7 linked regions of the Neurospora crassa OR74A genome follow. The protein of the gene in region 6 purifies or fractionates together with the protein of the main gene of each other region. This does not show direct contact. Links are inferred from orthologs where the notes say so. Each region holds a gene or a part of one and is shown on either strand. Other genes may lie near its edges. The genes, in order: crp-10, NCU02428, NCU08951, NCU01367, NCU00115, NCU07041 and NCU04485.

The links.
Region 1: the proteins of NCU07041 (region 6) and crp-10 purify together in Saccharomyces cerevisiae (affinity purification with mass spectrometry; 5 studies listed by BioGRID). This does not show direct contact. The link is inferred for Neurospora crassa OR74A from reciprocal best matches to the Saccharomyces cerevisiae genes KRR1 and RPS3.
Region 2: the proteins of NCU07041 (region 6) and NCU02428 purify together in Saccharomyces cerevisiae (affinity purification with mass spectrometry, with the first as the bait; 6 studies listed by BioGRID). This does not show direct contact. The link is inferred for Neurospora crassa OR74A from reciprocal best matches to the Saccharomyces cerevisiae genes KRR1 and EMG1.
Region 3: the proteins of NCU07041 (region 6) and NCU08951 purify together in Saccharomyces cerevisiae (affinity purification with mass spectrometry; 3 studies listed by BioGRID). This does not show direct contact. The link is inferred for Neurospora crassa OR74A from reciprocal best matches to the Saccharomyces cerevisiae genes KRR1 and NHP2.
Region 4: the proteins of NCU07041 (region 6) and NCU01367 purify together in Saccharomyces cerevisiae (affinity purification with mass spectrometry; 6 studies listed by BioGRID). This does not show direct contact. The link is inferred for Neurospora crassa OR74A from reciprocal best matches to the Saccharomyces cerevisiae genes KRR1 and RRP9.
Region 5: the proteins of NCU07041 (region 6) and NCU00115 purify together in Saccharomyces cerevisiae (affinity purification with mass spectrometry, with the first as the bait; 3 studies listed by BioGRID). This does not show direct contact. The link is inferred for Neurospora crassa OR74A from reciprocal best matches to the Saccharomyces cerevisiae genes KRR1 and FCF2.
Region 7: the proteins of NCU07041 (region 6) and NCU04485 purify together in Saccharomyces cerevisiae (affinity purification with mass spectrometry; 3 studies listed by BioGRID). This does not show direct contact. The link is inferred for Neurospora crassa OR74A from reciprocal best matches to the Saccharomyces cerevisiae genes KRR1 and ESF1.

Annotation. Positions count from the first base shown.
Region 1 is NC_026503.1:4,034,656-4,039,284, reverse strand, and holds crp-10 (40S ribosomal protein S3), read right to left. Parts: upstream 2,802-4,629; 5' UTR 2,642-2,801; coding exon 2,619-2,641; intron 2,360-2,618; coding exon 1,594-2,359; 3' UTR 599-1,593; downstream 1-598. Other genes in the region: NCU11185 (protein phosphatase), read left to right, coding at 3,703-3,726, 3,790-4,629. UniProt on the Saccharomyces cerevisiae protein: Component of the ribosome, a large ribonucleoprotein complex responsible for the synthesis of proteins in the cell.
Region 2 is NC_026507.1:2,520,952-2,525,291, reverse strand, and holds NCU02428 (nucleolar essential protein 1), read left to right. Parts: upstream 1-1,422; 5' UTR 1,423-1,504; coding exon 1,505-1,556; exon of another isoform or gene 1,557-2,145; coding exon of another isoform or gene 2,146-2,173; coding exon 2,174-2,442; intron 2,443-2,513; coding exon 2,514-2,990; 3' UTR 2,991-3,666; downstream 3,667-4,340. UniProt on the Saccharomyces cerevisiae protein: S-adenosyl-L-methionine-dependent pseudouridine N(1)-methyltransferase that methylates pseudouridine at position 1189 (Psi1189) in 18S rRNA.
Region 3 is NC_026505.1:5,798,180-5,802,300, reverse strand, and holds NCU08951 (ribosome biogenesis protein Nhp2), read left to right. Parts: upstream 1-1,606; 5' UTR 1,607-1,859; coding exon 1,860-2,145; intron 2,146-2,252; coding exon 2,253-2,695; 3' UTR 2,696-3,444; downstream 3,445-4,121. Other genes in the region: NCU08952 (translation regulator GCD7), read right to left, coding at 1-836, 894-991; NCU08949 (hypothetical protein), read right to left, coding at 3,755-3,812, 3,891-4,121. UniProt on the Saccharomyces cerevisiae protein: Non-catalytic component of the H/ACA small nucleolar ribonucleoprotein (H/ACA snoRNP), which catalyzes pseudouridylation of rRNA and is required for ribosome biogenesis.
Region 4 is NC_026505.1:3,790,860-3,795,482, reverse strand, and holds NCU01367 (rRNA processing protein RRP9), read left to right. Parts: upstream 1-1,563; 5' UTR 1,564-1,750; coding exon 1,751-3,640; 3' UTR 3,641-3,956; downstream 3,957-4,623. Other genes in the region: pcb-4 (proteasome component C11, variant), read right to left, coding at 163-364, 451-700, 775-932, 989-990; NCU01366 (hypothetical protein), read right to left, coding at 4,451-4,623. UniProt on the Saccharomyces cerevisiae protein: Involved in nucleolar processing of pre-18S ribosomal RNA. Required for efficient pre-rRNA cleavage at sites A0, A1 and A2, and biosynthesis of 18S rRNA.
Region 5 is NC_026503.1:2,663,809-2,667,512, reverse strand, and holds NCU00115 (rRNA-processing protein FCF2), read left to right. Parts: upstream 1-1,564; 5' UTR 1,565-1,677; coding exon 1,678-1,935; intron 1,936-2,148; coding exon 2,149-2,523; 3' UTR 2,524-2,953; downstream 2,954-3,704. Other genes in the region: CCAAT-binding transcription factor subunit AAB-1, read right to left, coding at 1-147, 228-241, 308-395; NCU00114 (30S ribosomal protein S10), read left to right, coding at 3,175-3,216, 3,292-3,362, 3,427-3,459, 3,635-3,704.
Region 6 is NC_026504.1:4,998,470-5,002,387, reverse strand, and holds NCU07041 (90S preribosome/SSU processome component KRR1), read right to left. Parts: upstream 2,469-3,918; 5' UTR 2,290-2,468; coding exon 2,035-2,289; intron 1,977-2,034; coding exon 1,627-1,976; intron 1,560-1,626; coding exon 1,202-1,559; 3' UTR 695-1,201; downstream 1-694. Other genes in the region: NCU07042 (alcohol dehydrogenase), read right to left, coding at 1-357, 489-547. UniProt on the Saccharomyces cerevisiae protein: Required for 40S ribosome biogenesis. Involved in nucleolar processing of pre-18S ribosomal RNA and ribosome assembly. Essential for vegetative growth.
Region 7 is NC_026504.1:3,203,844-3,208,373, forward strand, and holds NCU04485 (pre-rRNA processing protein Esf1), read left to right. Parts: upstream 1-1,646; 5' UTR 1,647-1,714; coding exon 1,715-3,877; 3' UTR 3,878-4,123; downstream 4,124-4,530. Other genes in the region: NCU04484 (hypothetical protein), read right to left, coding at 4,361-4,530. UniProt on the Saccharomyces cerevisiae protein: Involved in the 18S rRNA synthesis. Required for the early cleavages at sites A0, A1 and A2.

The sequences.
Region 1 (4,629 bases), on a different chromosome or scaffold from region 6:
ATGCACGCCTAGCCTTTAGTGCAACGGACGGGAAGTTCACGTTCCACTCTACCACGATGTCGAGCGCGAGAAACAGAAAAATAACGGTGGGAATCGGTGTATGGGCCCCACCACCAAGTTTGACCGAACTTGCCTAATCCGAGACCGCAGTCTCGAGGTCTGCATCAAGGAGAGTTCCCTCTTCTGAAGGGATAGTTGAGGATTTATCTGAGTGTATACCATGAAAGTCTTCAGGGTAAACGAAGATGTATAAAGAGGGGCGTATAAGTGAAGAAGAACCCGAGGCACCCCCAAAATCTGTAACGAATGGAGCGAATTGATTGTCGATCTATACACACAACACAGCACCTTTCAGACCAAGCAGAGCAAAGACCGGAGATATAGACAACAGATCGAAGTGAGGAGGAGGAGAAGGAGGGAGGGAATTCACAAGGGATTCATTTATATATGGGGACCAAGACAGATGGATGATTGAAACCAATACAACAAGAAAAGTGTTATGCGTGTCCTGACTCTCTTCTTCTTCTCCGTGAGTTAGGTACAACGTGTGAAGTATCTCTACCTTGTTTCTTATTGGTTCCAAGTACGAGCGGGTGCCTTAATGATGTGTTACCCCTTCATAGGATCCCATATTCCCAACTTTTCCGAGTCCTAACTGCCCCTAGACACTATATTCCATTACTGTTATACCTCCAAGTTGTGTATTATTCCCCTCAAACGTCCATATCCTTTTCCTCCCTTTTTAAACAAGGGACTGGTGCCAGAACAAGATCCAGATTACTTGTCTCGAAGTATCTATTTGTTAAGTCTTGAACGATTGAGCAGGAGTCTGTCAGCTTGAATATCCAAAGTCGGTGTAACCGTGTATTTCAAAACAACGTCGGAGCAAGTGAAGACAGAGCTCATTTAGTGTATGTTAACATTCATCAGTCCTCCAGTGTTCGTCAAATGTTCGGTGTGAAGCTACTATGCAAAGACGGGAAATCTTGAACGGTTGGATATTTGCGGGACACTTGAGCTGAGAGTGGCTGATGTTTACCTGCTTACATTCCATGTCCCGATTTAGGCCATGATATCATATCAACAAACCTACGGACGAATTTCTTCACATGCCTCACTTAGATTGGTGCCTATATTCCATTAATAGTCTCCTTCATCACACAAAAGGATATGGCACAATTGGCAATCGCAAAACAAGGCAAGGAAGGAGGGCTTGTTCAGGTATCTTATTTCCCTGGCGAAAGTCAGGAATTTCCCGACGTTGCTGCATTGATCGTGGGGTTACAAAAAACAATTATAATCCCAAGCAACAATCCGTCCGCCATTTCCCCTTTTCGCAAGTCTTAATGCAAATGTGCTATGACCATAGTTGACGCCAAATTGAACCCATCCATTTCCGCAACCCAGTGTTTGTTTGGACTTGCAAGCACATTGAAAAAAGACCCCGCCCAAACCCAGCGGCCTTTACCAGACAATGGAAGTATCGTCCGCGCCGAAATTGAACTCCGCCACAGGAGCGACCTCAGGCTCGTCGAAAGACACAGGCACCTCGATCGAAGGCAAAACCTCATTTGACCCGACCTTGAGGTTATCCTACTCCTCAGCGGCGGGGGCAGCGGCCTCCTCCTCACCGGCCTGCTCCTCCTGGCGGGCAGCCTCAGCGGCAGCCTGGACCTGAGCGGCCTTAGCGCCGTAGTCCTGGCTGATGGGCTGGGTAACGGGCTGCTCCTCCTTGGGCTCGATGATGGTGACGGCGTCAGGGAGAGACTTCTGGGGGCCGGACTTGCCCTCGGGGTCAGAGCCGCGCATGATCTTGACCTTGATACCGAGGACACCCTGGCGAAGGAGAACGTGGCGAGTGGCAGAGTCGATGAAGTCCTTAGCGGGCTGACCGGAGTGGATCATGAAGCCATCGGTGAACTTCATGGACTTGGCGCGAGCAGCGCGGAGCTTGCCGGAAACGACGACCTCGCAACCCTTGGCACCGGACTCCATGATGAAGCGGAGGACACCATAGCAGGCACGACGGACGGCAAGACCGTTGAGAAGCTTGTAGCGGAGGGACTCGCACTGAGCGACGGCGGAGAGACCGCGGTTCTGGACCTTGGCGGCGTAGAGGGAGACAGAGTTCTCGGGGAACTTGAAGCGCTTCTGGATGAGCGAGGTGAGCTCACGGATGCGGCGGCCCTGCTCGCCGAGAACCTCCTGGGTGTGGGTGGCGCGGATGATGATGTCGGTGACGGTCGGGGTAACGCGGACCTCGACACCGGAGTAGCCCTCCTCAGCGAGCTCGCGCTGGAAGAACTCGTTCAGCTCGGCGTAGAAAACGCCATCAGCGACGAACTTTCTGCGCTTGGAACTGTAGACAGAAAGAGAAGCAGTCAGCATCAACGCCGCTTTTGTTGTTTTCCAAGCCACCACTTTCTAAATCCCACCCCGTCGGCTGAATCTGCTGCAACCAGCGGGCAGCATATCTCCCGGCTTCGTGACTGAACGCCTTCGTTTTGCATTTGCACCCCCACAGCAGCAGCAGATCGCACCGACGTGTAGACAGTCGTGAAGACGTGTAGTAGACATGTAGGAGGCTTCCATGCTCTTGGTTTGCTCTGGTTGCTTACATCTGGGTGCCGGGAACAGCCATTTTTGCGATTTGGCTATGAAGGTCCTGAGGGCTTCAATTGTGCTGCTGAGGAGGATGGAGTGGGATACCTTCTCGCGGTGTTCACCGGACTTTTCAAAAAGATGGGGGGAAATTCGACCGGCACAGCTACTTTTTTTGCGAATTCCTTGGTGGGCTGCCCTCTGCCGCTTCTGAGTGGCTGGCTGAGTAGGGTTAACAGCCGCCACGGCTCATCCCGGCTGGCAAGCGGCTGGCAATCCGCACCCAGTCTGCGCGCCCAACGCTAGGTAGGAGCCGCCAAGCGCAACCCAAAAAAGGAGATACGTACAGATCTCACATGTGGGGTTGAGGTGCTTCCTTGCGCTTCCCGTCCCCGTCCAGGCCCAGCCTTGCGCCCAGACCACCTCGTGCACTTCACTTCCTTTGATTGTCAGTCGTTGCTGGCTCGGGCAATTTCTGACACCGGCAGGCACCATGAACGTTCCGTCCTCAGTCGGGTTCGGGGTGGCGCTGATAGTGGGGTGTCCATCGACGTCAATCGTCGCTTCCCCGGTTCCAGAGCGCGTTGCACTCCAGATGCTGACTTTCTGCTTGTTCGCAAATCGCAGTCACTATTCGCATACCCTTGGATTCGGACGGCAGGAGGATTAGCAGCAGAGGTTCTGTAGCTTACAAAGTTACCAGTCCCTGTCGCCTTTAAATACCTGTCCTCCAAATCGATTCCACGTGGACCTCGGGGACAATCTCTTGAAATCCCAACAAGTTCCGCGTGAATCACTTATCGTTGACCGGCACCAGTGACTGCGCGGCGAAGTTCCTCCTTTTCGTTTATATCAGGACACATGTTCCTAATTGGTACATTTTTCTGTTTCCCAGTCCTGCAGTCTGGCACTATTGTACAACTACGATACATCTTAAGCGAAGCAGATTCTATTCTCCCCGTTCCTCTCGCCGCAACCGCATCTGTCAACACGTCTTGCGCTCCTGTCCGGACACATTGGGTCTCGGACGTCCGGTCTCCTACCTCGGCTGCACAGCGCCTCATAGTGCCGGGGTAGTTAGTATTACCTCCCAACATCACGATGGCGGCGCCTCACCTCAAGCACGTATGCTCTCCATCATCTACCTTTCCAACTACGTCTCGTTTTCTTTACTGAACCGAATGCCAGACTTTCGCAAACATCCATGCCTTGCGAGGCGGAAAGCCGGAGCTCGGCGACCTTGCGCTCAGTGACTACCATCTCGTCTTCCGCTTTCCCCCCGAGTCTTTGACTGCCGCAGATCCGAGTCTGAAAAAGAGTGTGAAGCAAGTGTGGTTTGCCTTCCACATTATTTCACAGTGCACCCTACGGCCCACGCCCCCTTCTAGTGGCGTTCCTTCCTCGATACGTATTCGGTTCAGAGATTTTACATATGTTAGCTTCAACTTCGCAGGCGACAAGGAAGCCCGGGAGGCATTCGAGTTCATCAAGTCCAGAACATGCAAGCTAGGAAGCGTCGATAAGCTGCTGGCCTTCAGCTACCGACCTCCACCAAACTCACCCGAAAGTAAAATCAACGGTTGGGACCTATACGATGTCAGAGCCGAGTTCCGCCGGCAAGGGATAAGCGAAAAGTCACGCGAACTGGGATGGAGGATCTCTACGATCAACAAGGACTACTCCTTCTCCCCGACCTATCCGGCCTTGCTTATTGTGCCCTCCAAAATATCCGACGCAACACTGAAGTATGCTGCGAGTTACCGGTCGCGGCAGCGAATACCCACTCTCACCTACCGCCATCCCGTCAACAACTGTACCATTTCACGGTGCTCGCAACCACTTCCCGGCATATCATTCAAACGCAATATTCAGGATGAATCTCTAGTCAGCGCGTGCTTTTCAGCTTCGACGGAGTTTGCAGGCGGCACCTCTCTCGACATGCCAGTTGAAAGCCCGCCCCCGAGTACGGCTGACCTAATGATAGAGAGCGAGAACACGGATGGTTCCATGTCGGATATTCAGAAGGCG
Region 2 (4,340 bases), on a different chromosome or scaffold from region 6:
TATTTAATTGAATTTAGTTACTTAGAATTAATTGTATTTAATTATTTAATTTTATTAGACTAAGCTATTAATCTAGGAGGTAGTTGGATTAATTTAGTAAAGGGTAATTTACTATAGGTTGAAGGATAGTTCGTTTATCCGACGATAGTACTATTATAATTAATTAGGTTATTAAAGTTATTAGTAAAGTAATTTTCTTATTAAAATAAATTATTATATATTAATAAATTATTAGGCGGATTATTAGCTAGGCCGGGGTTAGTTAAATTATAGTTAGCTATAGTATTGAAATTAGCTTTTAGATTATAGTATATTTAATTACAATTATTAATGAATAATAGTATTGAGAATAAAGAAAGTACTTAGTAGGAGTATAGATAAGAAGTAGGAGTAGAAATACGTTTAAGAATTGAGTAATTGGTAGACGGGGTTACCCTTTATATTGAGGTCTGTAGGTATTCGGATTAGGGTAGTATAATATAATATTTTAATTAATACGAACCAATACAAGTAAATTGGTATAGTATAATTAGGAAGCGCGGGGAGAAGGTATAAGGGAAGGATTGGGAAGGATTTAGAGATATAATAGTAAAGGATTGTTATTATTGTTTGCGATTGCAGGGTTGGTGTTGAGCGATATAGGGTCTTTGCGATTAGAGGTTTAATGAACCGTTTGAAGATTAATTAGTTTACTTAGTTAAAGGTTCTAATTGAAAGGGGTTTAGTTTGGTTAATTAATTTTTAATTGTAGCTACTATTTGATACGGGTAATTGGAGCGCTCTGTAAATAATAGTATGATGATATTTGAAAGCGTTATGAAAAATGATGTAGAAGGAAGAACTAGAAGCTAACGGCTAGCCTAGAGGGTAAGCCTTGGGAAGGCGGTTCTGACGGTACCATTTTTATAAAGCTCGGACCACCCATTAAAGTAATGTAGCCTTGAGGGGGTAAAAGTCCAAAAGTTCAAAGCCTTGTATTTCGACGATTTTTAGTCGTATGAGGGAACTAAGGCTACCATTGGAATCAGAATAAAATGTTCTATATAAGAGTAATTTTTATTTATCTTTACTAGCTTCCTTGAATTTATAATATATAATAATATATAGTTGGGTCCTACAGCGGCTGACGGCCGAAATGCTCAAAATTGGCTCAGACCTGCTACCGCAGAAACGGGTGGGGTGGGGTGGTTTTGGAGGTTGTGGGTCTGACTGAGACTATTTCAAACGATGCTTTCTTGTGAGGACTGATGGTTGCCGGCGCGCGATATCAATGCCAAGCTTGGGGTAGGGGCTGACTGCTCTCAGTTCGTATGGCCCCACACAGTCGGTTTATCCAGGTCGTGTTATCGAGCTTCGTGAACATATAAAAGGGCACGTGCGCCCGCGCACCCGCGCTCTGGGCTCTCGTCTCGTTCTTCCTCCAACTTTTCCGCTTCAATCTTGCTGCCATCAAGGGTCCATTTGGTTTTCCATCGTTGTCTTTGCTCCGTGCTCCCCTGCCACCATGTCGTCCGGATCATCTTCCCCAGAACACCCCCGTGCTGGCAAGCGGCCTCGTAAGTACCCTCCTCGACCTTTTAATCTCTTCTATGTCAGATAATCATTTTGGTTTGGGCCCTGAATGCGAGGTGTTGCGGCGCTCGAGGTATGAAGTTTTTCGGAGGTTTGAGGGGCGGGCTTGAGCGTTCCCAAGCTGTATTGCTGCGTGTGTCCCGGTTCCGTTGTTGCCAAGCATCATAGCGCATGCGCAGCGCAGAGGACCAAAAAAAATCAAACAAAAAAATCGACGGGAACACCCTGACGGGAAAGACGCCGCAAAGACGTACTACTACTGTACACGGAAAGAGGGGCCCGGGAAGCCTGGAACTTCGGTACCCCACTCTCTTTTGACTGATCGCCAATGGTGGCCAATGCCATTTCGTTTTTTTCGCTCGAAAACTCGAAAGGCCGTCTTGTCTCCATTCTTGCGTTCTCTTGGCTACACATCATCCATCGTCCCGTCCCTAGCACCATCACGACGACCATATCAGCAACTATCATCAAACCTACCGTTTCTACCAGCGCCGCCGCCTGCCATTTCTCCTACCTGTCGTTGCCCCCGGACATTTGGTTATTCGATTATTGAGTGAGCTTCAGGTTTTCAACATGTCTAACCACGACGTGACCATGGCAGGCACCCAGTCGCTCCCTCCTCCGGCACTGCCCCAACTCGTTGCTGAGCAGCACATGCCCATCCCACCTACCGACAAGGATACTAAGAGGCTCATCGTGGTACTCTCCAACGCCAGTCTCGAGACCTACAAGGCGTCCCACGGCGGCTCTGGCCGCATGGGCATGCAGCGAGAGGAAAAATACTCGCTCCTCAATAGCGATGAGCACATTGGTGTCATGCGCAAGATGAACAGAGATATCAGTGACGCTCGCCCCGACATTACTCACCAGGTTGGAAACACTCCCAGTCTGCATTCAACATGCGGATACTGCTACTGACACTCGCCATTTGTGTACTCTAGTGCCTCCTCACGCTCCTTGACTCGCCCGTCAACAAGGCCGGCAGGCTGCAGATCTATATCCAGACCGCCAAAGGGGTCCTGATCGAGGTCTCGCCTGCTGTCCGTATACCCCGCACTTTCAAGCGCTTCGCTGGTCTCATGGTCCAGCTTCTCCATCGTCTGTCCATCAAGGGAACCAACTCACAGGAAAAGCTCTTGAAGGTGATTCAGAACCCTATTACGGACCACCTGCCTCCCAACTGCCGCAAGATTACGCTCAGCTTCGACGCCCCCGTTGTGCGCGTTCGCGAGTACATCGACGCTTTGGGCGAGAATGAGAGCATTTGCGTCTTTGTAGGCGCCATGGCCAAGGGCGCCGATAACTTTGCGGATGAGTATGTCGATGAGAAGATTTCCATCAGCAATTATAGCTTGTCAGCCAGCGTAGCGTGCAGCAAGTTCTGTCACGCCGCTGAGGATGCGTGGGACATCATTTAATCGACAATCAAACCGTGGTGAGGAACATGGAGGGATGGGTGAAAGGTCTGTTTGCCTTTCTCACGCGTGAGAGAGGCTGCGGGGGCTTTGGCCAGCTTCGTGATACAACATCGCGATTTTGCGGGCTAGAGCCTCCGGAACTTGGGTCGCCTGTGATTGCGCTGTCGCTGTTTTTGCAACCAAAACATGGGGCGTTCAACAACGGACTCAAGACGCTTTCATCGTCTACGCAAGACCATTCAACCTGGCCTGCCTTCCCTCCTCTCCTTTCGTCATATACTCTTCTTCGCCTCTTCCTAGCTCTTTCATACGTCCAGCCTTAGCTAGTCAATACTATCTTCTTGCGGATACAAAGTTCTCGGGTCAAGTGAAACGCAATTTTTTGTCGAGCGAACGCTTGCCATGCGCCATTCCAACTCAGACATTGCCATGACGGAAAGAAGGGCAAGTAGCGACTTGCCCAGTTAGTATCAGTGGTAGAGAATGGGAAGTGACGCACTGGAACCATGTTTTGTCATCCTTCTTTTTTGCTTACACGATATCAGCACTACTACCTAGTAGCCATCTACCACAGGTCAGTGTTTTCGTGGGTTGCTCGTTTTTCGGACTGCGACGCCTCACTACCCTCCTCTCCTTCCCAATGCCTTTATTCTCCCAAATAAAGCATTTGCAAAACAATGTGTCTCCCTTGCTGCGTAAGCTCGTTTGATTTCATTTTCACGTGCCTGTATCTCTTTCCATGGCCATTTGAAAGCCTGACGAATAGTGCCGTGTACTCGCAATGTACAAGAAGCGTACAGGCCTTGATGTATCTCACATGGCATTCTTCATTCGGCCAATAAACCGCGGAAAGTAACACCCTGGGCATTGGCGTTTGGCCACTGGGTCTTCAGACCGATTGGATCATGGGCTGCAGGACCATATCACCTGTGGATATGAAATGGTTATCCCAGTTGCCGTCAGCCTGGCATTTACTCCCGAGACTGTTCGTATGAACGCGCACTGGAGCACTCCCCGCCTTTGCTGTGCCTTGCAAATTTGTGAATTGGATCTTTTGGGTTTGAATGATCTACAATGCTTGTGCTCCAGGAACACACAACCCAGTGGTAACAGGAAAGATGTGTAAAATGTAGTGTTGCTAATATTTTCTTTGAAATTTTTTTTTTATAAATGAAAATATGATGATAGTTTGATATTCTTCATACATGGAAAGCCCAAAAACTTTTTGTAAGACTTAAGACCGAGCACGTCGTTCAGTTTCCGGTCTAGTTGGGTTTGGTTATTGGGCCTTTTTTTTTTTTTTTTTTTTTTTTTTTTTTTTTTTTTTTTTTTTTTTTTTTTTTTTTTTTT
Region 3 (4,121 bases), on a different chromosome or scaffold from region 6:
TAGCAGCAGTACTGCACCCACTCTCTGTGGAAATACCGCCGTTCGCATATACGGCCTTGGCGCTGATAACGACCTTGTTCACCCTAGGCATATAGGCCATCAAGCCGTTGCTAGCCAGGCTGATGGCGTTGACCCCGAGACCGTTGAGCTTCTTCCGTAGGGCAGCATGGGGCACCTCGCCGGGTTTTTGACGCTCAGCGCTGGCGATGAACACGGTAAACCTCCTCTTTGCTGCGGCTTTGAGGAGGAATCTCTCGACTGTTGGGGAGGGGAGGTAGGCGAGCACGTAATCGCCGGGGTGAATCTGGATGTCCGCGAAACCCGCAATCTGGTCGTCCGCCTGGCTGATCTCGTCCATAATCTCTTCGATGCCATCGATAACTTCGGACCGTAGGGCATGCATGTTGGCAGATGCGCCCTGGGACATGGGGGTAGATGCGCCGGTAACTGGTGACTGTGCGGTCTCTGAGACGCAGAGAAGGTTGAACATGGACTTGGACATGGGGAGAGTCGCGGCGCGGAGGGGCGTGGGGCCTGGCCTTGTGGAAATGGTGGGCGTTGTGGGCAGCTGGGAGAGGTCGGATACTGAGTCGCCCATCTCGTCGGCATTTCTGTCCTCGGAAGCCTCATCACGAATAAGACCCATTACTCGGCGGACAACGTTGCCGATGACTTGCTCAGTGGGAGCAGCTTGGGCAAGTCTGTGGCCGGTGTTGGAGACCTTTGCGAGCAGCTGATCGACGTTCTGCCACTTAGACTTGGCGACGACCTGGAGCAGCATATGGGCTGTGGCATTGGCGACATCATCGCCCTTGACTTGGCGACGTTTTAGGAGGCTGCCCAACCATGTTAGGATCTGATATAAGATAGATATGAAGCAGGCGTAGGCGTACTAAATAAGAGCCTCGATAGAAGCCTCCAAGGGCTGAGTGTTGAGAGACTTGAGGAGCTTGCCCAACGTGGGGGCATAGCTCATTTGCGACGACGCCATGGCGATGAGCTGTGTATAGTACTCTGTGTGCTACTGAGGTATTGTGGAGGTGATGTCGAAGTGAGAGTGCGACTGTTCCCTGCTCGAGGCTGTATGGTCTTTACGAATGGTACTGGACGGATATCTATGAAATCGATATAGGCGGGGGGGAATGACAAGGCTGCTGGTCGCAAAAAGGTTCTCCAACAATAGCTTCCAGAACTGGGCCAATGTCGCTTGGGATTGTGGACTTTTTGCCAGTGAATTGTCGAGGTGAGTCAATGGCTCACACTGAATGCGCTTGGAGGTAGGTATCACAAGCTCTAGAAATTTAGTGGGGCAGGCAAGCAACCGGCCTTCAAGGACAAAGCACTGCCGCTGTTTGCCAGTTTGCGGCAGGCTAGAAGCAGGCCTTGTTTAAGTTCAAGACTACTACTAATCCCTGTCGTACTGAATGGAAAGCCCCACCAAGCAAAAGGTGGAAGTTTAAGACATTTCCTCTTATCGCGTGCTTATCGGAAAATTGGTCCCTCTTATCGCACCCAATTCCAGGCGCTCACCTGCATTATCGGCCCCCGGGCGGAACGGCTTTACAATTGGCCTACAAATTTTTGGTCGCGTCGCTCTGCTTTGATTGACTGGGTCACTTGATGGACCCAGTAAAATCTGCGTTGAAGAATCCATTTCTGCGATCAACCGCCCCATCACGATACCAAATACCTTGACGCCCCAACCCAGTAACTTTTTTTTCTCTTTACTGCAGTGGTTGTCTGTATAACCATTCTTTAATTCCTGTTTGATACCCCATCCCCCTCCACCACCAACTTTATCTACACACACCCAACCACCACCACCAACAACAACACACACACACATTTAATCCGACAAGATGGGTGCCACCGACAAGATCAAGGAGAAGAAGGACAAGTCCGAGAAGAAGGACAAGAAGGAGAAGAAGATGAGCGAGGAGGCCGGTGTCAAGAAGGAGAAGAAGGACAAGAAGGAGAAGAAGGAGAAGACCGAGAAGCTCGCCAAGGCCGTCGAGGCTCACCTCGAGAAGGAGGGTTCCGTCGACCCTGAGGATGTCGTCAAGACCGCCGAGGACCTCGTCCCCTTTGCCCTTCCCCTCGCCGACGACAAGACCCACAAGAAGATTTACAAGTTGATCAAGAAGGGTACGTTTTGTGACTACTCTCCAATTGCATTGCCAGGCTCCTCAATCGCAGCCCACGCACGACTTGTACTGAACCCAAGCTAACTTTTGATTAAAAAAAACAAACAGGCGCCAAGCTCAAGTCCATCCACCGCGGCGTAAAAGAGTGCGAGAAGGCCATCAAGAAGTGCCCCCTCCGGACCGCCGCCTCCCCTCCCGCCGACGCTCCCGGCCTCGTCATCATCGCCGGCGACATCTCGCCCATGGACGTGATCATGCACTTCCCCATTCTGTGCGAGGAGCACGGCGTTCCCTACCTGTACATTCGCTCGCGCGCCGACCTCGGCGTTGCCGCCTGCACCAAGCGCGCCACCTCGGTGGTGATGCTCAAGCCCGAGGGCAAGAAGTCCTCTGGCAAGGAGGAGGGCGACAAGGTCGACCCTGCCGAGTACCTCGAGGCCTACAAGGAGCTGGTCAAGACGGCGCAAAAACAGTGGAACGTCCAGGTCGAGCCCTGGGTCAAGGGTACTCACCCGCTCCAGATCGAGGCCAAGGTCAAGGGCACTGCCTAAATTGGCGGGAGCAATGACTCGAGCGAAACAAAACACACAAAAGATGAAAGGCTGCAACGACATGATGGCGACAGCGGGAGCACATGAGACCATGACACTATTGCAGGTGCCGGTGTGATTGTGCGTCTGCTTGTTGCAAGAGTGTTCGTGTGCGTACGTGCTTTTTGCTCAGACAATCGGACCGTCTTACCGTTGAGAGAGAAGAAAACAGGCGACCGATCATCTTGGAGATTGGACGCTGGCGGGGAGCGCAAAGACTGTTATTCGATGGACTTTTGCCTGGGCTTGGGGAACAGATGAAGGAGGAACAAGTTTGTGACGCCTTAATCACAACCTCTATCACTCTTTTCTTCCCTCGATGTCGATTTCTGTCTCCGCTTCGGGCTCCTCCCACCTCTCGCTCTCATCACGAAAAGATTGTCGGATATCGGTCATCATCTCTTCCGCATTGACCACATCCGGTCGGCTCCCATGGGCTGGCTTGGTTGTTCTGGGCTTTTATCTAAGCTATAGATAGAGAGCATTGATGGGTTGACGGTTTTAGTCTATCCTGGTTTCGGTTATGGATTTATGGCGCTGGCTACTTGCTGTCATTAAAATATGGAAGGCGTTGCGGGGTAAACACTTGTATTTTGTACGGTATATATGAGAAAGGAATACCAAGTTCATCAGTTCTCATTTTCCAGTTCGTATATGTTCAAGCGTCTTTGGGTCGAATGCCGCGGGCTGTACTTCTGGCCTATGTCACGACACACAACACAACATCGACATGGCCAACTACCATCGCAACACTCAATCAGATGCAAGACAACTCCTGGTCACCAGCAGACAACAAGCACACGAGCCAAATAGTGAGTTATCGCCAGCGTCTTCCATTCATCTCAGGAATGCTGATACTATGCTAATAGCTTGATACAATACAGAGGGTACCAAGAAAAAAAACAGGAAATGCCCAGGAACACGCCCACACTCCAAATTGTAGGTGCGATACTCAAGTTCCCCATTATCATTAACTTCATTAAACCATACCAGAGTTCCTCTTACTCAAAAAAGGACCCTTTACTCGGCACGCCAGCTTGTCCGGCCGAGAGTAGGCGATCCGGAGGTAGCAGAGGCGCTGTTTCAACCATGTCAGCAGACTGTTCCCACAGGATATACCGTAGTAGATAGGTTCTTTTACAATAGGGTGACCCACTACTCAAAAGGGTTGGTGCGCGTTCCCCACCAGGTAAGGAAGACGGAAAGGCCGACAGTCTCAAACAGCTTAGCGAGGACGTTGATGCCGACAGTCTCAAAGGCGCGCTTCTCAACGAAGAACTCAGAGATGAAACCGGGAGCAGAGGTGGCAGCGAAGATGAGACCGCCGAGGTAGGCGGCGCCGCGGTAGCTGAGGGTGCCGGTGGCGTTGATGAGAGCGCCAATGCCG
Region 4 (4,623 bases), on a different chromosome or scaffold from region 6:
CTCTCTTTCTTTATGATCATCAAATTCGCCAGGGGTCTCCCGTTGGTGGAGGCCACCTGGACTCATGCATTTCCGTCGTATGGGTATTATTATACAGAGTTGTCCTTCCCCCGCAAGGCTTCCCAAGCCGCAAGCAGGCAAGTAAGCAAGCATCCCCACAAATCAAGCCATCTTAACCACCTTGTCGTCGTCGAACTCGATATCGATGATGCCGTCCTTCGTTACCGCCTTGACCGTCATGCCCTTGAAGTCTATGGGTAACCTCCTCTTGAGCTCGTCGGTGCACAGGTTGAGAAGCTTGATACCCTGGTGGAGGGTGATGTCTGGGTGGTGGTGCTTGTCGAGAATCGAGAGGCAGTAGTATCTGATGAGGAAAGAACCGGTCAGTGATTCTGTACATGACTCCTACGCATCAAAGACGGTACAGAGATATCGGTCGAGATCACATACTGTGCGTAGCCGTGGGCGGCATAGGGGACCTTCGCCAACGACGCAAGGTAGTCGAGCCAGTAGAGGCTGGGCTTGTGGGTGATAGGGTCGACACCTCCGAGAAGGAGGTTTACGTTGTAGGGTTTGCGGGAGCGCAAGCTCGTCGCAAGCTCGCCGCGGACAAAGTTGGCAAGGGCAGAAGGGGAAAGGTCGGTCCCGTTGCGCATGGAGTAGAGCTGGGCGTTGGCTTGGGTGTACTCGGCGAACTGCACTGTCGATGGGAACAAACAGTTGGTTAACTTGGTTTGGTTCAAAAGCGCCATCATCACGATATCGCTGCCGTACCTGTGTCGCCAGCTTCACCGGAGAATGCCATCAGTGTGTGCTTGTTCAGCGACCTTGTCTTGTCGTCGGATGCCTTCAGGATGGTCGCTCCCCGCATAGCGGCCTTGGACGCCGCAATGATGGTAAAGTCCTTGCCCGTGATGCCTAGTAAAACCTCCCTACATGCTGATCAGCTCTGATATCACCTCTCCAAGACATGACCGATGCGACGTACATTTTGGCTGATTGTTATGTGAGTGAATGGATGATATGCTGTTGTTTTGGTAAGCTTTGGCAAGTTGCGTTGGCTTGCACGGTTCTCGTCGTTACCTACCTATGGCGGGACAGGGCAGTTGGAGCTTGAACTGACGGCGACGGGGAACGCGCACTGGAGCTTCAGCCTGCAAGCTGACAAGACAAGCACGGGCCAGGCTGTTCAGGTGCCCGCTATCGTCTTCCATCTTTCCATTCCAGTCCCCAGAAGGGCTGAAAGCTGCAACCACTGGGCAGGCAAGCAGACAGCGAGAGAGACAGCCCCACTCCGTCATGAAACCTGCCAGGATGGCCCGGGGACGTCTTTTGGAGACAGCAAGAGCCTCCCCACCAGCCGACTACTAACAGCTCGCTAGCTCGGTTCCGCGTGACAGAGCCCCTATATCTGTTAGTGACGCAATAAGGTAGAGTGCACGGCACGGGGATTCCCTTCTCCGACTCGTTCAATTGTGCCAAGCCAGTGGAGGAGATCTTGACGAATCGGCGTGCTACTCCACCGATAGAAAGCCTGCAGGGTGGGCAACTTTTTTTTTTCTTCGAAGTCCATCGGGTCGGGTGTGTCTAGGCGCGAACGGCCATCCCAAAAATTTCAACTTTGATAGCCATGCAGCAGCGTTGAAGTGAAGCCGAACGCGACCCCAATTCACATTCCAGTGTCATTCTCTACCACCAGACGACTCCAGTGCATTTGCACCGACCGCCCCGGGCCGCAATTGCCAACACCATGTCGTCCTTTTTCACAGCACCCGCTGGGGAAAAGAAGAGGAAGCGTGCCTCTGCCAACGAAGCCCCCCAGAAGCGAGTTGCGACTGGCAAATCGACTGCCAAGTCATCGTCGGTCAGAGGCCCTGCCGCCAAATCACGTCCCGCAGCCCCCAAGAAAGCCGTTGAGCGCGACGAGTCGATATCCGGCAGCGACATTGACAGTGACGATGGCGACCACATTGAGAGAGAGGACGGGTCGGAAGGAGAAGAGGAGTCGGACCACGAAGGAGAGACGGCGGCTGAGAAGCGGTTAAGATTGGCACAGCGATATCTGGACAAGGCACGACAAGAGGTGGAACTGGAGGACGAGTATGCCTTTGACGCCGAGCAGATTGACCGTGATTTGCTGGCCGAGCGTCTTCAGGAGGATGTGGCCGAGGCCAAGGGCAAGGTTTACCGCCAGTTGGCTTCCAAGCTCGACTTTGACAAGGCCGCACACACACAGTTTCGATGGAATTCAGGAACGGTAACATCAGTCTCGGTTTGCGCGCCGTACGCTTACACCACCACGAAAGACGGCTACCTTACCAAGTGGAAGCTACAAGACCTACCCAAGAACCAGTGGCCACAGACGACCAAGAAGAAGCCAAAGAAGCCGCCTGCGCCGCCCAAGAAGAAACCCGAGAGAGTGTGCTTCAACAGGGCGAACCCGATCAAGGCAAAGGACAAGACATACCAGGGACACACCAACGCGGCCATCCTGACGGTCAGGGCCTCTGCCGACGGCAAGTTTGTTGTCACCGGCGGCGCCGACAAGCGAATGGTCGTCCATGACGCCGAGACCCTCAAGCCCCTCCGGGCCTTCACCCAGCACCGCGACGCCGTTACCTCGCTCGCCTTCCGCCGCGGCACTAACCAAATATTTTCTGCCTCCAAGGACCGGACAGTAAAAGTCTGGTCGCTCGACGAGCTCGCCTACGTTGAAACACTCTTCGGCCACCAGGATGAGATCCCCGACATCGACGCTCTGGCCGGCGAGCGCTGCGTGTCCGTTGGCGCGCGCGACCGGACCGCCCGCTACTGGAAGGTTCCCGAGGAGTCGCAGCTCGTGTTCCGCGGCGGCGTGTCGGAGAAGAAATCCCATAAGAACCGGGACCAGGCGGTGAACCACGATGGCACCATGGACCAGGTGGCCATGATCGACGACGAGCTCTTTGTGACTGGCGACTCGGCCGGCACGCTCTCGCTGTGGGGCATCAACCGCAAGAAGGCGCTGTTCACGCAGCCGTGTGCGCACGGCATCGACCCGCCGCTCAAGCCGACCGAGGTGTCTGCCGACGCGAATCCGGACGAGAGCGTGGTGCCCACCCCGCAGCCCCGCGCCATCACCGCCCTCCGCACCATCCCGTACTCGGACGTCATTCTCTCGGGCTCCTGGGACGGCTTCGTGCGCGTGTGGCGCCTGAGCGAGGACAAGAAGAAGATTTTGCCTGTTGGCGTGCTCGGTTCCAGCACGGCGCTGCAGCAGCTTGACCAGGCCGAGGCCCAGAAGCAGAAGGAGGAAGCAAAGCAGAAGGCAAAGGCGGAGAAGGAACCTGCAACCGCAAGCAGTGGGGAGGAGCAAGCGGACGACGAGGCCTCGGTGGATGGGTCGCAAGACAAGAAGAAGAAGCAAGAGAGCGGGCTGATTAGGGGTATCATCAATGACATTGCCATCTTCGAGCGCGGCAACCGCGGTCGCGACGGCATCTGCATCGTGGTCGCCACAGGCAAGGAGATGAGGCTGGGAAGGTGGAAGTACATGAAGGAAGGAAGAAACGGCGCTACTATCTTCGAGGTGCCCAAGGTTGCTAGGCGAGCGGGGGCTAAGGGGGAGGAGAGCGATGAGGAGGAAGAAGAGGAGGAATAGAGGAAGAAGATGGGAACCATACGTACGTTTGTTCTGTCTTGTTTTGTCTACCTCGTTTGACGGAGCGGGACATGGGAGAAACGCGGAGAATGAGGAAGAAGAGAGCCAAATAATCATCGCCTGTTGAAATTTGTTACAAAGTGCTCTGGACGTTATATCGCATTCGCGACAGCCAAGCTGTTCATAGACAAAGGAGAAGGAGAAAGTAGAAAGAGCAAGTATTGTACATACCACACTATATCTTTTAGGTAGCCTCACTGCATTTGAAGGGAGTTGAAAAGTTTCTGGTCATGAATCCATTCCACTAGATTTCCGATTAAGTTGTGCCACACAGAGCCATTAAAATACTATGGAATCTCTCACCAATATATCATCAAAGGGATGGTAAACTTCTTGTAATGTGCTCTCCGTGGAAAAAAATATCAACAGAGGATTGGTAGTTTGTTAGATCACGCTGCGCTACTTCTTCCTCCAGCACAAGGTTGAGGCTCCATCATCTAGCTCGAGACTGAGATGGCCACCCGACTCAAAGGTACTCCTCGAGGCCTAGCTGGACGTCAATACCGCCAAATATTCCGCCTGCATGATAAGATGTACAAGACTTGGGGAGTTCGAGAGTTTCAACTCCAAAACAATCAAGCAACGAGCTTCAAAAAAGACAACGCAGCCATGCTATACCAGCCATCGAGGCCTCAAGACCATGCAATGCAAATGGGCAGATGCATGAATGAATATGCTTACACCAACAATAAACATACAACAATGAACCAATTCAACGCTCTAACCAATCCACATACTCCTGGTCTTCACTCAGTTCTCATCAGTCAAGTCAATAGGCGTCATCTCCGCGCTTTGCACCGCAGGGATGTCAGACACGACCATCGCCGGAGGGGGTGAATCGGGGATCTCCTCGGACTTGGTCTCGGCCGTTTCCTTGGGCTTGCTGGGACGTGGCTGTCGCTGATGATGTTGCTGTTGTTGTT
Region 5 (3,704 bases), on a different chromosome or scaffold from region 6:
GTAGTCGTGGGTGTCATTCTCGAGATGGTTGATGGTTTGTTGCCAGTAAGCTGTCAGGATTTCCTTGTAATTGCCCTGGAGGCCCTGATGAACATTGGCCCATGTTCCCGTGTAAAGGTCTGAGGGAGCAAAGCCTTGTTGAGAGAGCTAGCGACATGAAAGGCGTTAGACTGTCAACTATGATGTGATAGGACTGAGAAGCCCGCTTGCAAAGGGTGAGTACTAACCGCAGCACTGGCACCTATACAGTATATCATGGTGAGTAAACTGTTCCCTAACGAAAAGCGCTGAGACGGCGATTACTTACCATAATGGCCGCCTTGGCTCGTGTCGTAGACGGGCTGCTGGCGTTGTTGCTGGTTATGCCCAGCCGAAGACGGATTTTGGGGATCCATGGCAAATATCAATGTTTGGCGAGCAGCGGGGAAACGGGGACTAGTTGGTCGCAAATCGGTGGCCTGTACTGGATGACTTGGGTCAATGTGAATATACCTCTGTCTGTACCAACAAAACTTCAGCTTGAATGTCCTGCTAGCGTCGCGTAATGGTCGCGCTTTGCCGAAGAGCTCTCTGTGTTTCCCAGCCAGGTAGATCTAGCTTCTGCGCGTTGGGCTTAGAAAGAACTATCTATGATGTCGACAAGCCCCTTGGGGTCTTTGTTTACTTAGGACGGAGCCGACGAATGATGATCGCAAAGCCGACTCTCACTCAGAAATCCTGCTTGATTGGGCAGTGCGATTGATTGGCGGGACTCCCTGTTTGGGGAGAGGGGAGCAAGTGGGTGGAGTTCAATGTCAATGGACGACGACTCGCTGCTCCAGGCTCGCCTCTCGTTGACTTCGGGACGAGCCACACGGGCAAGAGCTCCAGTTGGTGAGGAAGGTGAAATGATTGGTGAGATTGGGGGGTGTAGGTCCGTCTTTTGGCGTGAAGCCAAAGGCTGGGAAATGCTATTCGCGGGAACTGGCGGATGAGGATGAGATGGACAGACTAGCAGATAAGCACGTACCTGTGAAGCAAATGGCTTTACTCAAACAGATGCTGGAGGATGTGAAGAGACGGACAATGGAAATAAGAAAGACGGTAAGATGATGATATGTGAGTGAAAGCGGTCAGACTCAGTATAATGGAGAAAACAAAAGGTTGGGCATCAGTGAACCTTTTGAAGACTTTCAACAACTCCCCCTTCAAATGACTGCCGCAGCATTCACTGCAGTCTGCAGCAGAACGACGCCGAAAGACAGCGACTGGCAGCTGTGGCGCGCTACCTGACAAGCTCTGCTCGACGTCGCGGTGGCCCCTGCCCCGAGCCCAACCGTTGACAACTGGCACTCTCCAGCCTCATTTTTTCCGCGCCCAGAGGTATGTATGACGCACGGCCCGGGGCTGTGGACTGCCAACTCATTGGAGGCCTGGCTCCAGTCGTACAAGAGCTTCACGTGACCGTGGAGCTCAGAACAAGTGATGCCAAGCCTTGGCAGAGATGGGGACCGGACGGACGCCTGGACATTTCCCCGCCGACTCCACTCAAAAATTTATCTTTTTCTCGTCCCCAATTTACTGTGAAGCTTCGACTTTTCTTCCCTTCTCTTCCCCTCTCACCAATTGCTTGCAAATCTTGAGCAGCTTTTCCACAGTCTTCATTTCCCGAAACTGTGCATTTGGCCGACCAGCAAGATGGCGGCTTCTGTACTCGGCTTGTCCGATGCTGAGATCGACAAACTCCTTGCTGAAGCCGAGTCTCGCCTTGCGAACTCGGACAGCTCAGATGCTGTCGCGGCTCCCCAGCAAGACGCTGCTGTTGCACCCGCAGCGCAAATCCCCGTAGTGGTTGCGGCTCCCTCGGCCGCTCCTGCTGAGGTGGTGAAGCCAACCTTGGAGAACAAGTCCAAGAAGTTGTCGGTTCGGGTGCCTCAATCCAAGGATAAGAGCAAGGTACGTTCAGCAGTCCTCAGCACGCATCACATCCCTTCCATGATGAAAATCTATCCCATTTTTTGATGACGCAGGTCGGCGCCCCGTCATGGGGTTGCTGTCTGCACCATAATGATTACCTTTATGTTCATAGTTACTCTGACTGGACATCCTTCCTTCTCTTCCGTTCATGCTCTGCGAGTTTGCAGATCGGTATGCTGACTAGAGAAACAGGGACCTAAGAATGACGCTGGCGCCGATTGGTTTAACATGCCCCGTACGAATTTGACCCCTGAGCTGAAGAGAGACTTGCAAATTTTGAGAATGCGTGAGGTCGTCGCCATGGGAAAGCAATACTTCAAGAAGGACACTCGCAAGGACTTTGTGCCCGAGTTCTCCCAAGTTGGCACTATCATTGCTGGTGCTACTGACGGTCGTGACAGCCGACTTACCCGCAAGGAGAGGAAGCGGACCATTGTCGAGGAGGTTCTTGGTGCTGAGGTTGTTGACAAGTACAAGAACAAGTACCACGGCATCCAGGAGAAGAAGCAGAGCGGAGGAAAGAACTTCTACAAGAAACTCGTCAACGGAAGGAGAAAGCGCAAGTGATCCGAACAACACCCTATGGTCAAAACACCTTGCGGGACACCTACGACCGTACCACAACCATCATCATATGCACGCGATTGTTGCAGCAAGCAACGATGCGACACCGATATCAAAACGCCGCTTCCGGCTCCTCGTCGGTTGACCTTGGTCGACACGACAGAGGATCGGCATCATGCAGGGCAATATTGTGTGGGATTCATAGTGTTATCTCAGTCTTGAGCTTTAGTTCGACTGCACAACAGTATCCCTTGTCCGCGTGGCGATCAGAGAAGGCATCTCTGCCAGTTATTGCGAGATTGCCAGGACTTTTTTCTTCTTCTTTTTTTTTTTCCAAAGGCAAAATGGAGAAATCTCCGTTAGATAGCCACGATGTCACAGAACTGGTGCCGTGCGAAGCCGAAAATCGGACAATCCAATGTTTGATAACCATCTGTTTTCTCCTATGCTACCAGTGACTTGTTATTTTGCTTCTGTTCGCTCTCTGTGGCGGTGATTTTTGGTAGCTTAAGAAATGGGCGTCACTAGCTCCTTATCGATAAGAACCCCGAATTGACCCCCCAGTATGGAACTTGCGCTAAAAACTCGGTTGATCCGCGCAGCGCGCGACGGCAACTTGGAGACGTTCAATCTCCCAGACCACCCAGAGCGAAGATGATAATAAGGCCAGTAGTACGGTCCCTCCAGGGACGGGCGGTAAGAATTCTCCTCATGCGTTTGTAAGATGTGTGCGCTTGTGGAATAGTTGTCTAATCTGCTTGGGGATGGCAGCCTCTTGCGACCCTCCGGTCCGCCCAGAGCGTCTTCCAGCCGTTGCCCCAGCTCCGGCGCAATGCTTCCGTGTAAGTGACCAGAGTGCTGCTGAGATTCTTGGGTATGCGCGGGCAGGAACTAAGAGTTGAGTAGGACCACAGGTCCCGATGCCGCCTCTAAGGCGAGGTTAGTACCCATTGCCGCGAATAATCATCCTCGATAACGTCGCCGTGCCTCCGAAACCCGCCCACCCGCTCGTCGAAGACCCCGCCGATGTGCACGCACTCCCTCCCTCCATCTATCGTCACACAACCGAACCAGCCCAGGCGGTGCAGAATGACTGACCGGTATATGCTGCTAGCACCACACCGATCGCCCGGATCACGACGACCACCGAGGCCCCCAAGGACCAGAAGAAAGCCAAGGCCGCC
Region 6 (3,918 bases):
TCCGCCTCGGGAACAACAATGTACTCCTGCCCCGTGCCGGCGTCGGTCAACTGAGATGAGCCAATGACCGTCCAGGGCTGGTTGGGGTCGTCGGGCCCGTCGGGGGAGGAAATCCATCCGCGGCTGGGGGTGATGAGGACGGGTTTGCCGACGAGCTGGGAAGCGGCAGGGGAGACGGAAGGGCCAGTGGACTCGACGACGCCGTAGCCGTCAGCGAGAAAAGGTTGCTCGAAGGAGATGCCGGGGTAGAGGTGTTGGCGGATGAAGAGGTCGCGGTGGTTGAGGGCGCAGGACCGGAGGCGGATGAGAAGCTCGCCGGGGCCGGGGGTTGGTTTGGGGATGGTGTTTAGTTGGAGGCTAGATGGGGAGGCCGAGGGTTAGTCATGCGGGGAGGATGGTGGGAGTGAGTTGGTTGGTGGTGGTGATGGGGATATGTATGGGGGAGAAGAAAGGTGAGGTTATGTGAAGAGGAAGAACAAAACACTTACGGGTAGTAAACCTGGCCGGGTTTACCGTCAATTTTCTTGACAGTGAGTTGGAGAGGCATCTTGGCGTTGTGTTTATGTGTGGGTTGTGTTTTACCGAGGCCAATCCACTGGATGAGTGTTGAAGTATGTTCAAGAAGTGAAAGAAGGAAAGGGTCATCAAGTTTAAATCAGTTGCGACATCGGCCAGATTTGTTATCAATTGGACCCGGGGAAAGGGGTGTTGTCACTCTGTCATTGAGCCTCTCCCACCAACCCTGCCACCGACCAATGGCCGCCCCCACTCTCCCCCGCATTCGTTGCCGGATCCCGCTCCAATGATGCAACTGCCTCGGCCCGCCTTGTGATGCCCCTGGTTTGCGATCCGCCGGGGTGGAGCAGCCCGGTTGTGGTGCGGGTCTGCCACATCGGGCTTTATTCGCGATCGTCATCGGGTTTTGTTTCGGCCTTGGGTTTCGAAATGTCGACAGATTCAAGAACCGACATCTTTTCTGGACAAGTCATTGTTTTTGATAACACATTTGACAAAGGCTTTTGGTGAAATTTAGCAACCAGATCACCCTTGGATCCCGAAGCAGGAGAAATCTCAATCGTCTGCTGAAGTATGGGTATCATGGGATTCCAGGATCCTTTCTCTTTCTCTTCATCATCGTCTTCCTCAACTCCATTTCCACCTCCACCGCCCCCATATTTTGGATTGCACCACTTGTACCAGCTTAGTCGCTCGTCTTCCTCTTCTTGGCCTTCTTGTCCGTCAACTCCTCGGGCGGCACATACTCCTTCTCGCGCTCGCGCTTCTTCTCCTCCTTCTTCTGCTTGGCCTTCTCTGCGCGCTCCTGCTCCGCCACCCGCTGCTTGGCCTCCTTGCCGAGAAAGTATTCGCCGGACTCGATCTGGAGATCCACCTTGCTCTTCTCGGGCGCAGGGGGGAAGGGTGTATAGTTCTTCTTGGTCTTGTCGTTGACGACGTGGGGGACGCGGCGCTTGGAAAGCGTGCGCTTCTTGAAGTTGGGGAGGTAACGAGACCAGTCTTCGTGGGCAAGAGCGGGGTCCTTTGCGAGTTCGCGTTTGATCCTGTTTTCTCATGTCAGTTATTGTTGTTGTGGGGCGTCGCAAGTGGGCGTGCAGGCGCAAAACTTACATCAACTCCTTAATCATGTAAATTGGGTGAACGTTGTTCATGGTGTCCTCAACAACCCTCCTCACCTCCTTCAGACCCTTGAAAGGACCCATTACCGACACTGTGTTTCCGTGCACGAGGATATATGTTTGTGTGAGAAGCTCGAGAGCCTTGAGCGTTGTGCCGTTCTGTCCGAGAATTCTTTGGCGCCTCTTAACAAAACGCTCCTTGTTCCGTACCATGCTGCGGATCTTGATGATGTCGCAGGCCATGCCATCTTCGAGAATTTTGATCGCTTGTGGGGCTGGTACTGAACGGGCGAGCAACTTGATGAGATCGCGGGCGTTAAGAATAGCTGCGGGGTCATATGTCTGGACGTGAGTTAGCAAAGAGTGGTGACTATAAAGACAACAAACGCATCCGCCGTACCTTTCTTGTCGTCTTCACTGTCATGGAACCCTCCACCAAATCGAGAACTGCGGTGATGCCGTGCTTGTCGAGGGCCTTGGTGATGAGTGGCCACGAGTCTCGTAGATAACGCTCGCGGTACTTGGGGAATAGGGTCATAAACGAAGACTCCTCGAGGAAGGGGCCGGAGGATTCGTCCTTGGTGAAAGGGTCGACCTTCCACTTGTCGATGTCGTCTGTATCCCACGGCTTCTCCTTCTTGTGTGTGGACGGCATTTTGGCTGTAAATGTGTTTCTCGGGGCTCTTGTGGGCTGTTGATGTTTATGAATAATCAGAGGTCTCGATTGAGGTTGTGCGACAGGTCACGATATCAGGGCGAGCGACTTGGGTCTGGTGGTTGGATTTGATAAATGGCTTGTTGAAGGGATTGTATGGCAAGATGGCCAGCCGAATCGCGCTGCACGGATGGAAATTTTTGGAACACAAGCCTGCCGCAGCTGGTAAGAGTGGGGGCGCGGCGCTTCTTGCAGGTTGAGTTCCGGCTGCAGAAGCGCGACAGGATCAGCGGCCAGCTGGCAGATGCAGGGGCAGCTCCTTATCTGATAACTGGAACTTCCACTTGCATGGAAGTTGTAACTTTTGGAACCTGGTATTTTCATTGAGGACGACAACAGCATAAAAAAGGAGCAAATATAAGAAAACGACCGGATTCAGTTATTTCAAATCTCAGCGAGGTGGAAGTTTGGTTCTGTCATTACTGTCCTGCTGTACTTCGCAACGAGTCTATCCAAGTACTCTTGGCCATCTGCTCCTTTCAGCTGTTTTTTCCCCCCAGGTTGTAGATGTTATCTTATCTACATACTAGCTTATCATGACAGGGGCTTGCACGGCACGGCACGGAACATCAACAAGAAATCACACGTGCTGGCGACATCAAAAGGTCTTGATATGCCATGGTGGGATTGGCGACAAGAGCGTTTTGACTTGCTGGGGTCTCAACGTGATTTGTATACTCCCAGCAGGGCCATTGTTGACACCTGTACCGTCGGTAAAATCTCACCAAGGTGTTCAAGATACGCTGAAGTAATTGATGGTGAAGCATCGAATCCCGCCCGAGTCAAAGTTGACGAACTTAACAGCAGCAATTTTCAGGTTCGCCGTGATAAAGTCGCGGTAAGGCTGGATAACGTTCGTCGTTGGTTTTCCAGCTGAAGAACCAAGAAATCATCCCAGGTTCGCCCAATGAGAACCTGCAAAGATCTGACGACCCTGGCGCGCTGTGGTCATCATGATCGGGCAAGCACAATCTGCACTGTGGTACGCCACGGATTACAGCATTCCGTGCACGAGGTTTCGAAATCCATCAACGTTTTCCGTCAGAAAGGGGTAGGTTCGGTTTTGTGTCGCCAAGAATCAGAACTCCTTCCGTCCCTGCAACATCTTCCCCTTCTTTTTCTTCTTCGGCCCCGCGACATTCTACACTACTCCCTTCGATTTCCCCTTCGTATCCCTGGCGTCGGTCTTTATCCCGAACCCCAAGACCTTCAGGTATCGCTGCTTCTTGTGACCTTTGCCAAGATCGACGGCAATTGTCGTTGTCTATCCTTGAGAAGAAGAGAAAAGGAAAAGAAACAAATCGAATTCATCATAAGCACAGACGTCATTTCTGGGACGTTGACCTCGACCACCACACACCCGCACCTCCCTCCGCCTGCGCAGTCTCGATCCCGAAGTTGGCAATCCCGGTCACGGGCCCACGGTCTCGCTCGCATCCACCACGAGTGGGTCAATTGGCACCGACGCCGCCTTCAACCGCCGTGAAAGTCAAGCTGGCTTCGACTCGATCTCCGGGCCTTCTTCCCCTTATTCATCCGCAATATCCAACATCATTTACACCACCCACC
Region 7 (4,530 bases), about 1.8 Mb from region 6:
TCTGCCGGCTCCTGCTCCCGGGAGTACCTACTTAAAGTAACTGTGGTTGCGAGCCAAAGTAAAACCCTTTGTCAAGTACCGAGCATGACCCACCACAAGCAAAGCTTCGTGGCTTTGTATAGGGCACTGTGTGATCAGCGATCGCGAGCAACCTGGCCCACGGGTTTTGGTTACCCTGCTCACCGTATCGGGTGTGTGCATAGTGCAGTAGTAATGAGTCTCGGGTGTGTAGCCGCTCACGGGAAGTCAGCCAGGGGCAAGCGACGCTGGCACGGCCGGGAATGTGGTTGACAGAGGTCTCGAATGTCGTTGATGGCTTCGAGTCAATGTCGCGTCCCAAACAGCTGGGCAGGATGAAGAATACAAACACCCAAATCCGGACTCTGTGGTTCACTCTGTTGATGAAGAAAGGCGTGCTCGGTGTCTCACGTGATGCAGGCATTGTTGATGCTTCTCGCTTGTGAAAATGCCAAGAACATCATCGACATCTGATTTAGGGTTTTCCGGGGTTGTGTTGGCAAGGCATGCGGAGTCGATGACACCCGGAGAGGCATTCCGGAGCTCAGTCCTAGGGACATTCGCCTCGACTCCCGCCTTGGTAACCCCACCTGACCATCACCAAGGATCTCTTTCCTGGTTGAGCGCAAACAAAGAACAGCTTGGACTTGGTCCGGAAGTTGTGTAATGATGATTGCCCCTGAAGTGAGGAACGAATAGTGGTGGGCCATTGATTCTCGGATGGGGACCAAAGAACAATTATAAGTCTTGTTCGGACGCCCTTCATCTTTTGGACTCGCCATCCAACCCTCATTAACCATCCGGTTCATATCTCAGGATCCCACGTCCCAGACACATCCTTAACAACCCATCCGATAACGCGGCACTGTCGACCAGGTTCTTCCAACTTATACAAACCATGAATCTGGAGAGCTACTCACGACTCATTTCCTCCGACCAAGACGAAGACGTCAAGGCAGAGAATAGGGCTTGCACAACGCTATTGTCGCTCTTGATGCTTGTTGGGATCCTTACGTTGGGCGCAACGATGTGGCATGGGAACAGTTAAAGAACTGAAACCTGCGTAACATCTTCGGTAGGTAGTCAATCCGCGAACACTGTCAATTCATGCGATATCAGTCGTCCTAACGAGTGGAAGGTCCAGATTCGATGACCAGCGACAGCGACAGCGGACAGGACTGGATGGCCGATCGGTGGGTGGGTGACGTCGAATGGGAGTTCTCTGGTCATAAGTTGAAGGACGGCCGATGAGGCATGCGATGACAGGATTATACGTTGGATTCCGAATGACGGACAAGTTGATACCCGAATTTGTTGGATTGGATGGTCGAGGACAATCATCGACGGGATTGCTGGAGGACGATGGCGTTTTTGGAGTTTTTCGAGGTTGAACAGCCCTGCGCTGACAGCGTCAGTGGACTTTGGCTTTTGACGGAGTTTTTAGCGGGCTCCATTTGCTGCATGCCAGGGCACCAATGCGGGGAAGTGGATTGATCCATAGCACAGGACTTGGCGTTTTAGGTGGGGCACCTTGACATTAGCATGTGCAGACCGCCTTTGGCAGAATCAACAACGCTCCACTAAAATTTTCTCGGACTTTGCGTGCTGTGCACATGTCGGGTCGAATCTGCGAGTTTCCTTGCTGCCGTCGAATCCTCGATTTTGGATCGCATCAGTCACCATCTCCACATCCACCATGCCCAAAGATAACAAGCCTAAAAAGCGCGATGGCGCTCCTGCGATTACCGATGCTCGCTTTGCCAACTTCGAGACCGACCCGCGATTCCAGCTGCCCTCAAAAAAGAACCTAAAGACCAAGCTCGACAAGCGTTTCTCCAAGGTTCTCAAAGATGCAGAGTTCACCGCCGTCGCAAAGGTCGACAGGTACGGCCGCAAGCTAAAGACCGACACCAAGAAGAAGGCTTTGGAACGGCTGTACGAGGATGAGAGCGAGGACGCCACAGACAACGAGGCCAAAGAGAAGGCCAGCAAGGGAAAGAAGGACGAAGCGGAAGACGAGAGCGACTTCGAGGTCGAGGACGACGACATTGTTCAGCGCGAACTCGAGGCTGCCAACTCATACGACCCTGCCCGTGGCGGCGGTTTTTCTTCATCCGATGACGACTCCGACTCCGACTCCTCAGATTCCGAAGACGAAAAGCCAGAGGTGGAAGACGAGGCTGATGCGGAAACACGACCCGGTATCCGCTTGCGCAAGGATAAGGAGGCTGTTGAGGAAGGCGAGATCACAAACAGAGTTGCCATCGTCAACATTGACTGGGACCATATCAAGTCGATCGATCTATTCGCCCTCTTCTCGAGCTTCGTGCCCCCAGGTGGTCGCATCGAGAAGGTATCTGTCTACCCTAGCGAGTTCGGCAAGCAGAGGATGCAAAGAGAAGAGCTGGAGGGTCCTCCCCAGGAGATCTTCAAGAAGAAGAGTGACTCCGATTCCGACAGTGACTCGGAGGACTCTGATTCGGACGAGGCCATCAAGAAGGAGCTTCTTGAGGAAGGAGACGACCAGGACTTTGACAGTGACGCCCTTCGCACTTATCAGCTCGACAGGTTACGTTACTACTACGCCGTTATGGTTTGCTCCGACAAGAACACAGCATACAAGATCTACGAGGCGACGGATGGCAACGAGTATCTTTCTTCTTCCAACTTCCTCGACTTGCGATTTGTCCCCGACGATGTCACGTTCGACGACGAACCCAGAGACGAGTGCGACAGCGTCCCTGCGGGGTACAAGCCGGTGGAGTTCGTGACCGATGCTCTCCAGCATTCCAAGGTCAAACTCACCTGGGATACGAACCCCGAAGATTACTCAAGAAAAGAAGCTCTCAAGAAGGCCTTCACCGGTAGCCGCAACGATATCGCCGAGAACGACTTGCGCGCTTACCTTGCGAGCGACAGCTCAGACGACGAGGAGGACGAGGAGGAGAAGGAGCAGTTCGAGGCCGAGGGGGCCGCTGCCGAGGAAGCAGAAGAGGAAAAGACACTGTCCAAGAAGGAGCTTGCCAGGCGCAAGATGCGCGCTGCTCTTGGTCTTGCTGACGAGCCCGTGGTAAAGTCCAAGAAGGATACTCCGGTGGGCGAGATGCAAATCACCTTCACGCCAGCACTATCCGCCAACGACAAGAAGAAGGGTGACGAAGATAGGGAGGAGACGACCATCGAGAAGTACAAGCGCAAGGAGCGCGAGAGAAAGGAGAGGAAGCGGCAGGAGATGCTTGCTAGGAGGGAAGGTCGCGATCCCAACGCCGCTCCTCAGCAGGAGGAAGAGCAAGGCGACCAAGGCGAAGATCTCGGTTTCGACGATCCATTCTTCACTGCTGAGCCTGTGGTGCCTTCCAAGACGGCGATTCGCAAAGAGGAGAGGCTCAAGAAGAAGGCTGAGAGGGAAGCTGAGGAGGCTGCCAACGCCGCCGAGAAGGCACAGCTGGAGCTGCTTATGGCTGATGAAAACGGTGACAGTGGCCGTCTCGATCACTTCGACATGAAGCAGATCGCCAAGGTCGAGAAGGTCAAGGGCAAGAAGAAGGGCAAGAAGGGCAAGAAGGGCGTGGAGGGCAACGATGGTCTCCAGGAAGAGTTCGCCATGGACGTCGAGGATCCTCGTTTCAAGGCCGTTTTCGAGAGCCACGAGTTCGCTATTGATCCCTCTAATCCTAAGTTCACGGCTACTCAGGGTATGAAGAAGCTTCTTGAGGAGGGCAGAAAGAAGCGCAAGGATGGACCCAGTGTTACGGAGAAGAGTGAGAAGAGCGCCAAGAAGGTCAAGACTGACGACGCGGATATCGATGGTCTGATCAACTCTGTCAAGAGGAAGGCGAAGGCGAAGGCGAAGAAATGATTGCATCACGGGTAACAGCATATTAATGGCAAGTTTTTGATTTCTGTTGGTTCACATCCATCTGTCGTTCCTCCACTGTCCAGTCTTGTAAATGGTCCTTGGGTCAATGTGGTTTAAATTCAGGTCATGTAGGGTTGCTCCCTTTGTCTTTAATGATCGTCCCCTTTTGTGGATGAGGACAGAACCACGTACAGCTACCTCGCAACTCTTTTCCACTTCACAATGGCGGCCATAATATGTGGTACTCGAGGTCCATCAGTTCCTCATGGCCATGTAAGTTGGAGCTTTTGTTGTCGAGATGTTTGCCTTTACCTTTCTTAATCTCTCTCCCCGAGGAAATAACTCTGTGTGTCTGGCAAAACCCCTGGAAAGACACTGGGCCTCCGACATTCTTCCCTCGACAATTGTGTTCGTCTTATCCATAGCTACCTCTTTTCATCGTCCTTCGAGGTTTGCAAGCGATTCTCAACCTCCGGCCAGTCGTCAAGGTTCCTCCGTCAGATCCACAACCGGAACCTCTTCCCCTCCCATCTCCACCGGCAGCCACTCCTCCACATCATCCCTCGTTCTCTTCTTGCCTGTAGACTCCTTTTGCTGGGCCACAGTAGCCACACTCTTTTCTTCGACTTGCTCGGTCTTGACGACTTTCGTTG